Anolis sagrei: one gene and its partner. The protein of the gene in region 2 purifies or fractionates together with the protein of the main gene of each other region. This does not show direct contact. Links are inferred from orthologs where the notes say so. Each region holds a gene or a part of one and is shown on either strand. Other genes may lie near its edges.

Evidence for each region. Proteins that work in one complex are often made in the same cells at the same time.
Region 1: the proteins of U2AF2 (region 2) and SNRPD1 fractionate together in Homo sapiens (co-fractionation; 3 studies listed by BioGRID, with this or other methods). This does not show direct contact. The link is inferred for Anolis sagrei from reciprocal best matches to the Homo sapiens genes U2AF2 and SNRPD1.

Annotation. Positions count from the first base shown.
Region 1 is NC_090026.1:77,913,492-77,920,955, reverse strand, and holds the start of SNRPD1 (small nuclear ribonucleoprotein Sm D1), read right to left. Parts: upstream 3,080-7,464; 5' UTR 2,900-3,079; coding exon 2,886-2,899; intron 1-2,885. UniProt on the Homo sapiens protein: Plays a role in pre-mRNA splicing as a core component of the spliceosomal U1, U2, U4 and U5 small nuclear ribonucleoproteins (snRNPs), the building blocks of the spliceosome.
Region 2 is NC_090026.1:17,873,535-17,881,162, forward strand, and holds the start of U2AF2 (splicing factor U2AF 65 kDa subunit), read left to right. Parts: upstream 1-4,590; 5' UTR 4,591-4,892; coding exon 4,893-4,941; intron 4,942-7,628. UniProt on the Homo sapiens protein: Plays a role in pre-mRNA splicing and 3'-end processing. By recruiting PRPF19 and the PRP19C/Prp19 complex/NTC/Nineteen complex to the RNA polymerase II C-terminal domain (CTD), and thereby pre-mRNA, may couple transcription to splicing.

The sequences.
Region 1 (7,464 bases), about 60 Mb from region 2:
TATATTATACATTATCAGTAGTATATTTAATATATCATATTATCTCATATTGTATTTCTATTGTATTACATTATAATATTATCAATACATGTATATATAATGTACTATTAGCATAGCAGATTGTTGTTAATTCATTCAGTTGTTTCCGACTCTTTGTGACTTCATGGACCAGTCCATGCCAGAGCTCCCTGTTGGTCGTCACCACCCCCAGCTCCTTCAAGGTCATTCCAGTCACTTCAAGGATACCATCCATCCATCTTGCCCTTGGTTGGCCTCTCTTCCATTTTCCCCAGCATCATTGTCTTCTCTAAGCTTTCCTGTCTTTTAATTATGTAACCAAAGTACTTCATCTTTGCCTCTACTATTCTTCCCTCCAACGAGCATTCAGGCTTTATTTCCTGAAGTATGGACACCACAGTTCAAAAGCATCTATCTTCCTTCGCTCAGCCTTCCCTATGGTCCAGCTCTTCCGTAGGTGACTATGGGGAATACCATTGCTTTAACTATGCGAATCTTTGTTGCCAGTGTGATGTCTCTACTCTTCATTATTTTATCAAGATTGGTCATTGCTCTCCTCCCAAGAAGTACGCATCTCCTGATTTCCTGGCTGCAGTCTGCGTCTGCAGTAATCTTTGCATCTAGAAATACAAAGTCTGTCACTGCCTCCACGTTTTCTCCCTCTACTCCCCAGTTGTCAATCATTCTTGTTGCCATAATTTTGGTTTTTTTTGTTTAACTGCAACTCAGCTTTTGCGCTTTCTTCTTTCACCTTGATTAGAAGTCTCCTCAGCTTGTCCTTGTTTTCGGCCATCAAAGTGGTGTCGTCTGCATATCTAAGGTTGTTAATGTTTCTTCCAGCAATTTTCACCTCATTCCTCAAGCCCCGCACATCACATGATGTGTTCTGCTTAAAAGTTGAATAGGCTGGGTGAGAATATACAACCCTGCCATACGCCTTTCCCAGTCTTGAACCAGTCTGTTGTTCCATGGTCAGTTCTTACTGTTGCTACTTGATCCTTATACAGATTCCTCAGGAGAGGGATAAGGTGATTTGGTATGCCCATACCACCAAGAACTTGCCACAATTTATTATGATCCACAGAGTCAAAGGTTTTAGAATAGTCAATAAAACAGAAATACATGTTTTTCTGAAACTCCCTGCCTTTCTCGATTATAGCAGATTAGTATTATATATTATATTGCACTATATCACAACACTGCAATATTAGTCATATTACATGTAATATATAATATACAGTTATTGTATTATTACATTGTAGTATATTATACCACAATATAACTAATGCACTACGAGTACATTATACTATTAGTATTATATAATATATTGTATTATATAGTAAGCTATAGTATACATGATATAGAATATATTATAGTACAACTTTATTAATATTATATATAATACTAGCGGTCCCCTGCCATGCATTGCTGTGGCCCAGTCTGGTGATCTGGAAAATAAAGTAATGAGAAAGTGTTGGTTTCTAATATATGTAATTTCTTTATGCTTGTGGGTAAACAGTATATCTTGCTGTTTCTTTGCCAGTGTTGATGTGGAGATTGTCTGGTTTGCCTACTCTGGAACATGCAACATTTAATTGTCCTTCTTTAGGGGTCCCTTTCAAATCTATGGTACTATATCTGACATAGACATGTGTGTGTGTGAATTATATATATTTATCTACATCTATGGCTGGATGGCTCTTTGTCAGGAGGGCTTTATGTTTTCTTGCTCTGCTGAAGGGAGTTGGACTGGATGGCCTTAAGGCAGCATTTCTCAACCTGGGGGCGAATTGCGAGGGGGTGTCAGAAGGGTCACCAAAGACTACCAGAAAACACAGTATTTTCTGTTGGTTATGAGGGTTCTGTGTGGGAAGTTTGGCCCAATTTCATTGGTGGGGTTCAGAATGCTCCTTGATTGTAGGTGAACTAAAAATCCTAGTAACTACAACTCCCATATGTCAAGGTCTATTTCCCCAAAACTCCATCTGTGTTTATATTTGGGCATATTGAGTATTCGTGCCAAGTTTGGTCCAGATCCATTATTCTTTGAGTCCACAGTGCTCTCTAAATGTAGCTGAACTACAACTATGAATTGGCGAACACTGACCACAAGATGATTTTATTGCTGCTAGTATACTGTTTGATTGTTTTAATTAGTTATAACTGTTGACATTATATGGTAAATTTGTGTATTGTATATTGTACTGTATTTTGTGAATTGTTAGGCATCGAATTGTGCCTTTTGTAAGCCGCCCTGAGTCCCCCCTAGGGGGTTGAGACGGGCGGGGTAGAAACACTCCAAATAAATAAATAAATAAATAAATAAAAAACTCCAAAACCCAAGGTCAATGCTCACCAAACTCTTCTAGTGTTTTCTGTTGGTCATGGGAGAATTGTGTGCCAAGTTTGGTTCAATTCCATCTTTGGTGGGGTTCAGAATGCTCTTTGATTATAGGTGAACTATAAATCCCAGCAACTACAACTCCCAAATGACAAAATCATAATTTTTGAGTGATGGTCACTCCCTGTGTAGTGAGACGTTTCGTTGCCAAATTTGGTGCGATTTCGTTCATTCGTTCTTTTGTTTTTAAGGTACTCATTATGCACAAAGCATTTTTATATAGATAGATAATAATATGAGATTATATCAGAGTTTGGAATATGACTGAGCTATGAAGAGTGACACAATTTTGGAAGAAACAAGAAATAGAAGGAGGTGGGAAATCCCACTATTATCATCCATGCCCATTCATGCTAAATTCATGGGAAATAACTCAGTGGGGAGCCATTAGGAAAGGCCTGCAGGCCAAGAGCAAGGACCCCAGGCTTGGCCCGCGTGGCTTCTGACAAAAAGCCCGCTTCCTTACCTCACGAGCTTCATGGCGGCAAAAGTGTAGGCCGAAAATGCTTAAGCGAGTGAGGAATAAACCACCAAAAATTGAGCACGGAGACTAGGCCGCGTCCGTTACTCGCTGAGAAGAAAACGCACTCCCAACACACAGGGCGCGCGCGATGAATGAGCGGAAGCTCCGTCTCCTCTTTTCTCTTTCCGGCCAGGGAAGGAGAACGAGAAAAAGGCGGCGGGGGCTGAGAATGAGCGCCACCTGTCGGATAGGAAGGCATAATACAGTAGGGAGAATGGCTAGAGCGCCTGCGCAGAAAAGGAAACGAGAGGAAACAGTATATCTCAGACTCACCTCTATGCTGCCACATAATGCACTGTAACTATAGCACTTGAACATCAGTGAATTTAATTATTTATTCTAATAACCCTATGATTAATTATGTGGATATGTTTTAGGTTTTCAATTGTGTATTTTTTTTGTATTGTTAAGCTTTGGGTCTCTTTTTAAAAAGGTTGTATGCAGGGAGCATACAACCTCGCTGTTACGCCAACTCCACTGGCTACCGATCTGCTACCGGGCTGAATTCAAAGTGCTGGCGTTGGCCTTTAAAGCCCTAAACGGTTCCGGCCAAGCTACCTATCCGACCGCATCTCTGCCTATGAACCCACCAGGACTTTGAGATCTTCCGGGGAGACCCTGCTCTCGATCCCGCCTGCTTCTCAAGCTCAGCTGGCGGGGACGAGAGATAGGGCCTTCTCGGTGGTGGCTCCTCGGCTGTGGAACGCCCTTCCTACGGACATTAGACTAGCACCATCTCTAATGGTATTCTGCAAAAAAGTGAAGACCTGGCTGTTTGAGCAGGCGTTCGAATAATTAGTGCAATGATTGGTTAATGAACACTGGAATGGAAAAATGGATGACGAATCTGGAACATATTTTTGATGACGAGACGACAGTGAATGGGTCGTGTAATGTGTTAGGTTGTTAACTGTTTCTATACTGTAGCACTGAATTTTTGCTGTTCGTATTTGTTGTGAACCGCTGTGAGTCGCCTTCGGGCTGAGAACAGCGGTATATAAGTAAGGTAAATAAATAAATAAAATAAAAAGGACAAAAACTTTAAAAATGACAAATGCCTTCTTGGGCAAGAAGGCATTCATTCCAAAATGATTCACTATTATCCACAATTTTGCATATCCACAAAATGTCTGGGATTAGACTGTGTGGTGTCATGGTTTGAATGTTGGACTCAGACACTGTGAGATCAGGGTTTGGTCTTGGCTCTATCATGGTAACACAAGGAGGCCTCATCTACACTGCCACAGAATGTGGATTGAACTGGATTATATCAGTGTACCAGTGATTCTCAACCTGGGGGTTGGGACCCCAGGAGGGGTCACGAAGGGGGGTCAGAGGGGTCACCAAAGACCATCAGAAAACACAGTATTTTCTGTGTGGAATGTTTGGCCCAATTTTGATGGTGGGGTTCAGAATGCTCTTTGATTGTAGGTCAGCTATAAATCCCAGCAACTACAACTCCCAAATGACAAAATCACCCCCCCCCCCCAAACTCACCAGTATTCAAATTTGGGCATATAAGCTATTTGTGCCACATTTGGTCCAGTGAATGAAAATACATTCTGCATATCAGATATTTACACTGCGAGCCATAATGGTCGCATAATTACAGTTTTGAAGTAGCAACGAAAATAATGTTACGGATGGGGGTCACCACAACACGAGGAACTGTATTAAGTGGTCATGGCATTAGGAAGGTTGAGAAACACTGGTAGACTCATATATTCCAGTTCAATGAGGTTCAATCTGCATTATGAGACTACATTTACCATTATAATGCTGTTCAAATTGGATTATATGACTGTAGATAATTCAAAGCATGTAATGCCCATTATCTGCTTTGAACTGGATTATAACCGGGATTGTGGCGCAGCTAGCTGAGTGTCAGCTGCATTAAGATCACTCTGACCAAAAGGTCATGAGTTCGAAGCCAGCCCGGGTTGGAGTGGGTTTCCAACCAATTGTGTGTAGCCTGTTGTCAACCTTTGCAACCCGAAAAACAGTTGCATCTGTCAAGTAGGAAAATTAGGTACCACCTTAAAGTGTGGGGAGGCTAAATTAGCTAATTTACGAGGCCACAAAAAAGACTCCAGCAAAGCATTCCAGCAAAAAAGCATGCGGGGAATGCGGAAGTACTTCATCAGTGTCACAGATGGACGATGAAAGCGACAGCTCCCCTGGCAGCCAGAAAAAGTTAAATAGCCTCTGTCTATGTCTGTATATGTTTTATTTCTTTCTTTCTTTTGTGTACTTCTACCCCGCCCTTCTCAACCCCCGAGGGGGGACTCAGGGCGGCTTACAAAATAGTAATACAGATAAGATATAGACAGCAATTAAAAACAGTTATAACAGTTAAGAACAATCAATATATATCACAGTCAATAAAAACAATCTTATGCTCAACGTTCGCAACTCAGAGTCCATAGCTTCATTCCACATTTTCCATTCCTATCAATCGTCATTGTCCTTTATTTATCTGCCAGATTGCCCAAACGCCTGGTCCCAAATCCATGTTTTTAATTTCCTTCTAAAGGAGAGGAGGGATGACGATGATCTAATTTCCCCGGGGAGTGAATTCCATATGTAAGGGGCCACAACCGAGAAGGCCCTGCTCCTCGTCCCCGCCAATCTCACTTGTGATAAAGGCGGGGCTGAGAGCAGGGCCTCCCCGAAAGATCTTAAACTCCGAGGTGGGACGTAGAGGGAGATGCGTTTGGACAGATACGCTGGGCCGGAACCGTATAGGGCAGTGGTTCTCAACCTTCCAAATGCCGCAACCCCTTATTACAGTTCCTCATGTTGTGGTGACCCCCAACCATCAAATTATTTTGTTGCTACTTCATAATTGTAATTTTGCTACTGTTATGAATCGTAATGTAAATATCTGATCTGCAGGATGTATTTTCATTCACTGGACTAAACTTGGCACAAATACCCAATACGCCCAAATTTGACTACTGGCGGGGTTGGAGGGGTTGATTTTGTTATTTGGGAGTTGTAGTTGCGGGGATTTATAGTTCACCTACAATCAAAGTGCATTCTGGACCCCACCAAGTACAGAATTAGTCCAAATGTCTCACACAGAACTCCCATGACCAACAGAAAATACTGTTTTCTGATGGTCTTTGGCGACCCCTCTGACACCCCTTGTGACCCCCCTGGGGGTCCCGACCCCCAGGTTGAGAAACACTGGTATAGGGTTTTGTAGGTCAAAACCAGCACTTTGAATTGTGCTCAGAACTGGATCGGCAGCCAGTGGAGCTGACATAACGGGGTGGTATGCTCCCTGTATGACGCTCCGGTGAGTAATTTCGCTGCCTCCTGCTGGGCTAATTGAAGTTTCCGAACAGTCTTCAAAGGCAACCCCACGAAGAGTGTGTTGTAGTAATCTATCCGGGATGTAACAAGTGCGTGGACCACCGTGGCCAGATCCAACTTCTCAAGGTACGGGCGTAGCTGGCGCACAAGTTTTAATTGTGCAAAAGCTCTCCCGGCCACCGCTGAGACCTGGGGTTCCAGGTTCAGCGATTAGTCCAGGATCACTCCCAAGCTGCGAACCTGCGTCTTCAGGGGAGTGTAACCCCGTCTAACACAGGCTGTAACCCTATGCCCTGTTCGGCCTTACGACTGACTAGTAGGACCTCTGTCTTGTCTGGATTCAATTTCAATTTGTTAGCTCTCATCCATGTTGTAAGTCAAATTGGCATTGAATGTTTGCCATATATGTACACTGTAATCTGCCCTGAGTCCCCTGCGGGGTGAGAAGGGCGGGATATAAATGCTGTAAATAAATAAATAAATATTCCAGTTCAATGAGGTTCAATCTGCATTATGAGTCTACATTTACCATTATAATGCTGTTCAAATTGGATTATATGACTGTAGATAATTCAACGCATGTAAGGCCCATTATCTGCTTTGAACTGGATTATATATAATTGAAAATTCATATAATCCAGTTCAAAGCAGATAATGGGCATTATATCTACACTGACATATAATCCAGTTCAAAGCAGATAATCTGGATTTTATATGGCAGTGTAGAAGGATGTATTGTCGAAGTGTAGAAGGAGTTTAGGAGAAAAATCTGAGGGTTTGGATTTGAAATGTCAAATTCCTATATAACCAGCAAACTGCAAAGCTGTTTTTTATTTTCGGAGAAAAATGGTTATGACCATCCATTTTTCCAAACTGGAACTCCCAGAGAATCTACACTGATGCAACACGATTCATTAAATGAAAATATTAATTTTTCACAGAAGAAAAAAATTTAGCCGAGCCAGCCAGGAGTCGAACCTAGAATCTTCTGATCCGTAGTCAGACGCGTTATCCATTGCGCCACTGGCCCTGCCTGACGACCCCTTTTCCCCAATTGCATTCTACATTCCGCCTGCTACGTTTCTAGTGGCTGGAAACAAAACCAGGGGTGGAGTTCTGAGTGAGGCATTTCTTTTTGCCAAGCCGAGCCAATCAAAACGCTCCTTGCTCTTTCACTCCGTTCCTCGTTGGTGCAAAGAAGAGT
Region 2 (7,628 bases):
GTTGGCAGAAGCTGGGCTAACAGCTGGAGCTCATCCTGCTCCTTGAATTCGAACCGGCAACCTTTCGGTCAGCAAATTCAGCAGCTCAGTGGTTTAACCCACTGTGCCACCGGGGGCTCCCGGTAAATAGTTAGAAGTTGGGAAATGCATTTCCAAAGGGCCATAACGTCAAGTGAGGATGCAGTGGTCACATTTTTAGTCCTACTACTTAGTCTCCTTACAAAGTGTTTCTTGATGGAGGATTCAGACACTTCATGTACCATGCCATTATTCCATTGTCTTCTCCAGCCAGCTGAGTAATTAGACTAGACCTGAGAAGGCATATGGCTGGGTACCATTGCTCACCTTGCTTTGATGCTTTATAAGAGTTCTCTCCCTTCGGCTTTTCACTCTAATCTTCCTAAAACTGGAGGGATTAACTGCACTGTTCTGAGGTCTCCAGATACTTTCCTGCAACGACCCAAAACATTCCCATGCCCTGCCCATGTCCCATATCTTTTACCTCATAGTTGTGCCAGGCTTTTTCTTTCATTTCTGTGTGCCTATTACTGGCACACAAACAGGATTCTTTGTTTTGCTGCCAATTTTTGGTCATTTTCATTCTTTTTTTTTTTTGCTCCTTTTGTGTGAGCACTAATCATATACAGACTTGGTGCAGGCTTTGTCAACTGAGGCTGTTCAGGTGTTTTGGACTATCAATCCCATCACTAGCAAGGTGAATAGTTGACTATGATGAAGACTGTAGTCCAAAGTATCTGGAGGATGTAATTTGAGGAGGCTGATCTGCACATTTATGTCTTCAAGATACCACTGCGGGTATGTATGACAAAGACTGAATACAAGGATGTCATCAGTTTGCCTCTGGTTTTTGGGAATGCACTCTTGTTATTCAGTGTAATTAATGGGTTGTTTCCACTGTGCCTGTAATTTTTAACCCTGCCCCCTTTCCTCTTGTGTTTAAAAATATTTAAAAAAATAAAAAGTTTCAAATTCTATTTACTAAGATTTAAATTAAACTGTGTTTTGAATAAAAGTGAACAATGTCTGTGATGTATCTATTTATCTATAAATTGGTATTTCACTGCCTCTTTGGGAATGAACAAGGAGATTGGATTGGAATTCACAGCCAAGTATGTATTTTCTAGAGATCCTTGGATAAGTTCGGATTTAGTTATCAAACTGTGAAATGAAAACATTAATAACCTGGCATCACAGTTGAATTATGAAGGTAACATACAATATTCTGAAAGGAACATAGCTGTACAAAACATTTCTGTAACTTCACTAGGTGCATTTCTGTAACTTCACTGAATGGCTCATATTTGGAAGTGACTGGCAATCCATACCGTATAAGAATGCAAAGCCTCTGTTGGGTTACAACTCCTAACAGCCTCAGCCAACACTGTCAACAATGAGGGATGAATAGTCTGAAATCAACACTTGGAGGTCTACATATTTCCTCCACCCTACAATGAAAGATACATCAGGCATCCTTGGAGATTCATAGCCTAGTTAATCAGGATATGCATGCCAAGGGATCCTTATGGCACCTTTGAGATTAAGGCCACATATACACTACTACAGTATACAATGCAGTTTCAGACTGCAGTTCAATGGCATTGAAGTGCATTATATGGCAGTGTGGACTCAAAAAACCCCCGTTCAATGCAGTTAAACTGCATTCTGAAACTGGATTCTATTGCAGTGTATATGGGGGCTAACTCAAAACATTGGTAGCATAAGCTTTTGTGGATCAAGGCTGCATCAACACTGCAGAAGTGCAACAGTTTGATACTGTTAGGGAAAACTACCCAAAAATATAGCAGAGCATCCAAAACACAAACAGGATACTTAAAGTTGAGCAATCAGCCCACAGCAAGCAAAGCATGAAGTTGGGTTGTTGTAGATTTTTTCGGGCTATATGGCCATGTTCTAGAGGCATTTTCTCCTGAAGTTTCGCCTGCATCTATGGCAAGCATCCTCAGAGGTAGTGAGGATGCTTGCCATAGATGCAGGCGAAACGTCAGGAGAAAATGCCTCTGGAACATGGCCATATAGCCTGAAAAAAACTACAACAACCCAGTGATTCTGGCCATGAAAGCCTTCGACAATACAAAGCATGAAGTGCCATGTGATGTGGCTGCAAGGAATTTAGAACTTATGATGCAAAGATGCAGAATCTTGTCTTTAAAAAAAATCACAAAAAGTTTAACTATATTTCTTAAAAGTAAAGAACTGGGTCTGAGCTACTCTTAACACCCATCTCGTCTAAGGTTTCAAAGAGAGGGAAAAATCATCAACCACTACATCTCTCTTGACATACAAAGATCTCAATACACACAGCATATTCAAAGATGTAAAAGTAGAAGGTAAGGTCTTCAGTAGAAAAGTATAAATTATACACAACCAATTTTAGCAGAAACAGAGGAGAGCACAAATAGTTACATTCCAACTGTCATATAAGAGACTTGGGGGGGGGGGGGGGGAGGAAACCCTCAGCCTATTCTAAGTTAATTTTTCCTCGTTGAGGACTGGAGACTTAGGCAGTGTGGGGTTGAATTGCCGCAATGCTATGGAATTCTGGGGTGTGTAGTTTAGCAAGGTATTTTTCTTTTCTTTCAGAGAGCTCTGGGGCTACAGCAAACTACAATATCTAAGATCCCATAGGTTGGAGCTGTGGAGATTAAAGTGGTGTCAATCTGCATTCATTCTACAAGTCCTAGTAGCACTTTAGCACAATTAACACTACTGCACACCGTACTTTAATCCCTACGCCCCTCCTATCATTTCAGCACTTTTAACCTTGTACCCCTCTCGCCGGCCGAACCAGTTTTAATATGTCTTGATGTATTGTTATTGCTGTCTTGCCAATTTTTGATTTTGATTTGCTTTTTGATTTTGATTTGTTTTGTTATTGCTTGTTATGTTCTCTATTGTATTGTGTTTTGTGGCTTCGGCCTTTGTAAGCCGCATCGAGTCCTTTGGGAGATGCTCGCGGGGTACAAATAAAGTTAATAATAATAATAATAATAATAATAATAATAAATGCACCCTTAATTTATTCCATCAGAAGGCACAAGATTCCTTTGGGTGTCTCCTATCTTTGTAGTTCTCCATATTTTAATTATGCAGAAGTTAGGTGTTTTTAAAATAATCCGTTGGATTGAGGTGGTGGAGGAATGTATATTTTATTTATATTTGGAGAATTTATATTTTCTCCATTTAGTAGCATAAACGACAGGAAGTTGCCCTTCTAAGATCCAGAAACCGGAAATGCTTAATTCATTTGGGGGAAAAGCAATGGCACCAAATATGAATTAAGCTAATGAAATAAAAGGCTGAATGCTTTTGGGAGAATATAAAAATAAATTATATATTTTTATATTATATTTTCCATTACTTCCACCACGTGGTGGACTGGCTCCCTTTTGTGTCCAAATTTCTCCCAAAAAAAAAAAGAGACCCAAAGCAATTAAAGGGCTGGGTTGCTGTGAGTTTTCCGGGCTGTATGGCCATGTTCCAGAAGCATTCTCTCCTGATGTTTCACCTACATCTATGGCAGGCATCCTTGCTGTGAGTTTTCTGGGCTGTATGACCATGTTCCAGAAGCATTCTCTCCTGATGTTTCACCTACATCTATGGCAGGCATCCTTGCTGTGAGTTTTCTGGGCTGTATGACCATGTTCCAGAAGCATTCTCTCCTGATGTTTCACCCACATCTGTGGCAGGCGTCCTCAGAGGTTGTGAGGTCTCTTGGAAACTAGAGAAATTGAGTTTATATATCTGGATGTTGCAATTGGCCGCCTTGATTCGCATTTAATGGCATTGGAGTTTCAAGGTCTGGCTGCTTCCTGCCTGGGGGAATTCTTAGTTGGGAGGTAATAAGCTGGCCCTGATTGTCGAAGGCTTTCATGGCTGGAATCACTAGGTTCTTGTGGGTTTTTTCGGGCTATAGGGCCATGTTAGAGGCATTTCTCCTGACGTTTCGCCTGCATCTATGGCAAGCATCCTCAGAGGTAGTGAGCTGGCCCTGATTGTTTCTTGTCTGGAATTCTCCTGTTTTTGAGTGTTGCTCTTTATTTTGATTTTAGAGTTTTTAAAATACTGGTAGCCAGATTTTGTTCCTTTTCATGGTTTTCTTTCAGAAATGAACAAAATCTGGCTACCAGCATTAAAAAAACTTTAAAATAAAAAAACAGGAGTATTTCTCAGGATGCCTGCCATTGATGTAGGCGAAACGTCAGGAGGGAATGCTTCTGGAACATGGGCATACAGCCCGGAAAACTCAGCAACCCAGCGATTCCGGCCATGAAAGCCTTCTACAATACAGGGTTAGTCAAAATGCATAGGCCAATAAGCCATTCAATTGAATGGCTTATTGGCCTATGCATTTTGACTAACCCTGTACATTCAACTAAAGGGCGTCTGGTGGAAAAACCCAATAGCCCCGGAACCAATCGTTCGCTTTCCCTATTGTCAACATAACACAATGCAGGGAGGAGCCAAGAGCATGCGACACTCGAACACGGGCAGAGGAAGTGACGTTGGGAGGAAAAACCCGAACCTCTCCGGAAAAAGCCGAAGATGCTTTACAGGCGGGAGTGAGACGAGGCGGAGCGACCGCGAGGACGAGAATCGTGAGAGGAGGCTCTCTCGAATATAGCCGAACATTTCCGTCAGCACACGAACCTTTACGGAAAAAGCCGAAAAGGGAGTGACCGAAGTAGAGACGCGCCTTCGCACGCAGCCGAGCCTTTCCGTAACCAACCGAAGCCCTTGCCGGAAGTTGCCGAACTCAAGGAAAGGCGCCGTTGCGGCCTACTGCGTGAGGCGGCGGTGAAGCAAGCGGGCAGAAGAGCCAGGCCGGGCTTGAGTCTTATTATTCCGTCGCCATGTCCGACTTCGACGAGTTCGAGCGGCAGCTTAACGAAAACAAACAAGGTAAGCGAGCGAACGAGAGAGAGAGAGAGAGGTGGGCAGGGCGTGAGGGCGTCGAAATCCCGCCTGCTTCGGACGCGCCCCCCTTGGTGAGAATGGAAGGGCCCGTTTACCTGAGGCGGGCGCTACCATATGGCTGGGCCTATGCGGCGGGGGAGGGGGGGCGGGTATTGTCCTTCTTGTTAGCCAACTTCGCCTTTCTCCTCTTTCGCCTGATTTCCCGGGAGGCGAGCTATGGAGGCAGGCATGGCCGTTGGTGGCTCTGCGCACGCCTTTAACGGGGCGGGAGAAGGGAAGGCCGGGCCTGGCACCATCGCTCTCCCTCCTGGCGCCTTTTCTTTACTCTCTGGGAAGAACAGGGACAAAGGAGGGCCTTGATCTGGCTGATTGGGAGATTGCCACGCGGGAGTACACCACCAAAGTACTCCCGACAGATGGCCACCTGCTTAGAAACCTCCACAGCAAGCCTGGACCAACTTGGGCCTTCCTCCAGGTTTTTTGGACTCCAACTCTCACAATGTTCTCTCGAGGAAGTAGACTACAGAGTCACGCTGGAGGATCCAGCATGAGAAAATCTCTCTAGGTCCTCCAGTGCATTTCTGTGGCCAGCTTTCAGCGGAATACGACCACAGAGTTGTGCTGGAGGACCTAGAAAACCCCTAGAAAGATTTTCCCGGGGGTCCTGTCCATCTTACCCCAATAATAATAGTAATAATAATACCTCCAGGTTTTTTGGACTCCAACGCTCACAATATTCTCTCTAGGAAGTTGAGTATAGAGTCATGCTGGAGGATCCAGCATGAGAAAATCTCTCTAGGACTCTCTAGGTCCTCCAGTGCATTTCTGTGGCCAGCTTTCAGCGGAATATAACCACAGAGTTGTGCTGGAGGACCTAGAAAACCCCTAGAAAGATTTTCCCGGGCGTCCTGTGTGTCTTACCCCAATAATAATAATAATACCTCCAGGTTTTTTGGACTCCAACTCTCACAATGTTCTCTCTAGGAAGTTGACTACAGAGTCATGCTGGAGGATCCAGCATGAGAAAATCTCTCTAGGACTCTCTAGGTCCTCCAGTGCATTTCTGTGGCCAGCTTTCAGCGGAATATGACCACAGAGTTGTGCTGGGGGACCTAGAAAAACCCTAGAAAGATTTTCCCTCAGGTGAGAAAAAATTGCAATTTTTCAATTTTATTTATTATTTATTTATTTATGGCATTTATATCTCGCCCTTCTCACCCCGAAGGGGACTCAGAGCGGCTTACAATATATATTTTCATACAATATATTATATTATTAGCATAGTACAATATCAGTATATATTACTATATTGCACAATACCGTTATATTGTAGTATTATTAGTAATATTACATGTAATGTAAATATATAATTATAATTATAATATTGAATTATTATTACTAGTATTATATTATATTACATTATAATATTATAAATATTATATGTATATACAATATACTATATTATATTATTAGTAAAGACAAGATGGAAGTGTCTTCTGCTGCCTTCTGTCTTTGCTCTGGCCAGAACAGCCGTTAGTGCCAGAAGGGGGAGGGGCCTCTCAAGTGATGATATAGGCAGAAGACAAGATGGAAGTGCCTTCTGCTCCCTTCTGTCTTCACCTTTTGCGGGGGTCCTGTGTGTCTTACCCCAATAATAATAATAGTAATAGTAATACCTCCAGGTTTTTTGGACTCCAACTTTCACAATTTTCTCTCTAGGAAGTTGACTATAGAGTCACGCTGGAGGATCCAGCATGAGAAAATCTCTCTAGGACTCTCTAGGTCCTCCAGTGCTTTTCTGTGGCCAGCTTTCAGCGGAATATGACCACAGAGTTGTGCTGGAGGACCTAGAAAAGCCCTAGAAAGATTTTCCCTCAGGGGAGAAAAAATTTGCAATTTTTCAATTTATTATTATTATTATTATTATTATTAACTTTATTTGTACCCCGCTAGCATCTCCCGAAGGACTCGATGCGGCTTACACAGGCCAAGGCCTCAATAAAAACAACAACATAACAATACAATGATGTCCTTGGGGAGGGTGTTCCAAAGTCGGGGGGCCACCATAGAAAAGGCCCTGTCCCTCGTCCCCACCAAACGCGCCTGCGACGCAGGTGGGATCACGAGCAGGGCCTCTCCAGATGAACGAAGGGAACACGTGGGTTAATAGACGGAGATGCGGGTGTCCTGTGCATCTTACCCCAATAATAATAATAAACTATTTGTACCCCACTACCATCTCCCCAAGGGACTTGGTGCGGCTTACATGAGGCCGAGCCCACAATACATCAGCAAAAACAACAATAGCAATACAAACAATCTGAAACTCAAAAACAAAAAACAGCAGTAAACATTAACAATAGCACAACAACACATTAAAACCTATGGCTGGGCCAAATGTAATAATTTTTTTTAAAAAAAATAATGCTGAGCATGACCAGGTGAAATATGTAACTAGGATAGAATTTCGGAGAGGAAAGGGGTGTGAAGACAATCCTAGAACATTGATAAAGTGCATTTAGGGACATATTGCTAGGAGTTTCCTTATTCTGGGAAGGCACACTAGAACAGCCATGTCTTCAGGCTCCTCCTAAAGACTGCCAGAGTTGGGGCATGCCTGATGTCCTTGGGGAGTGAGTTCCAGAGTCGAGGGGCCACCACCGAATGTAGAG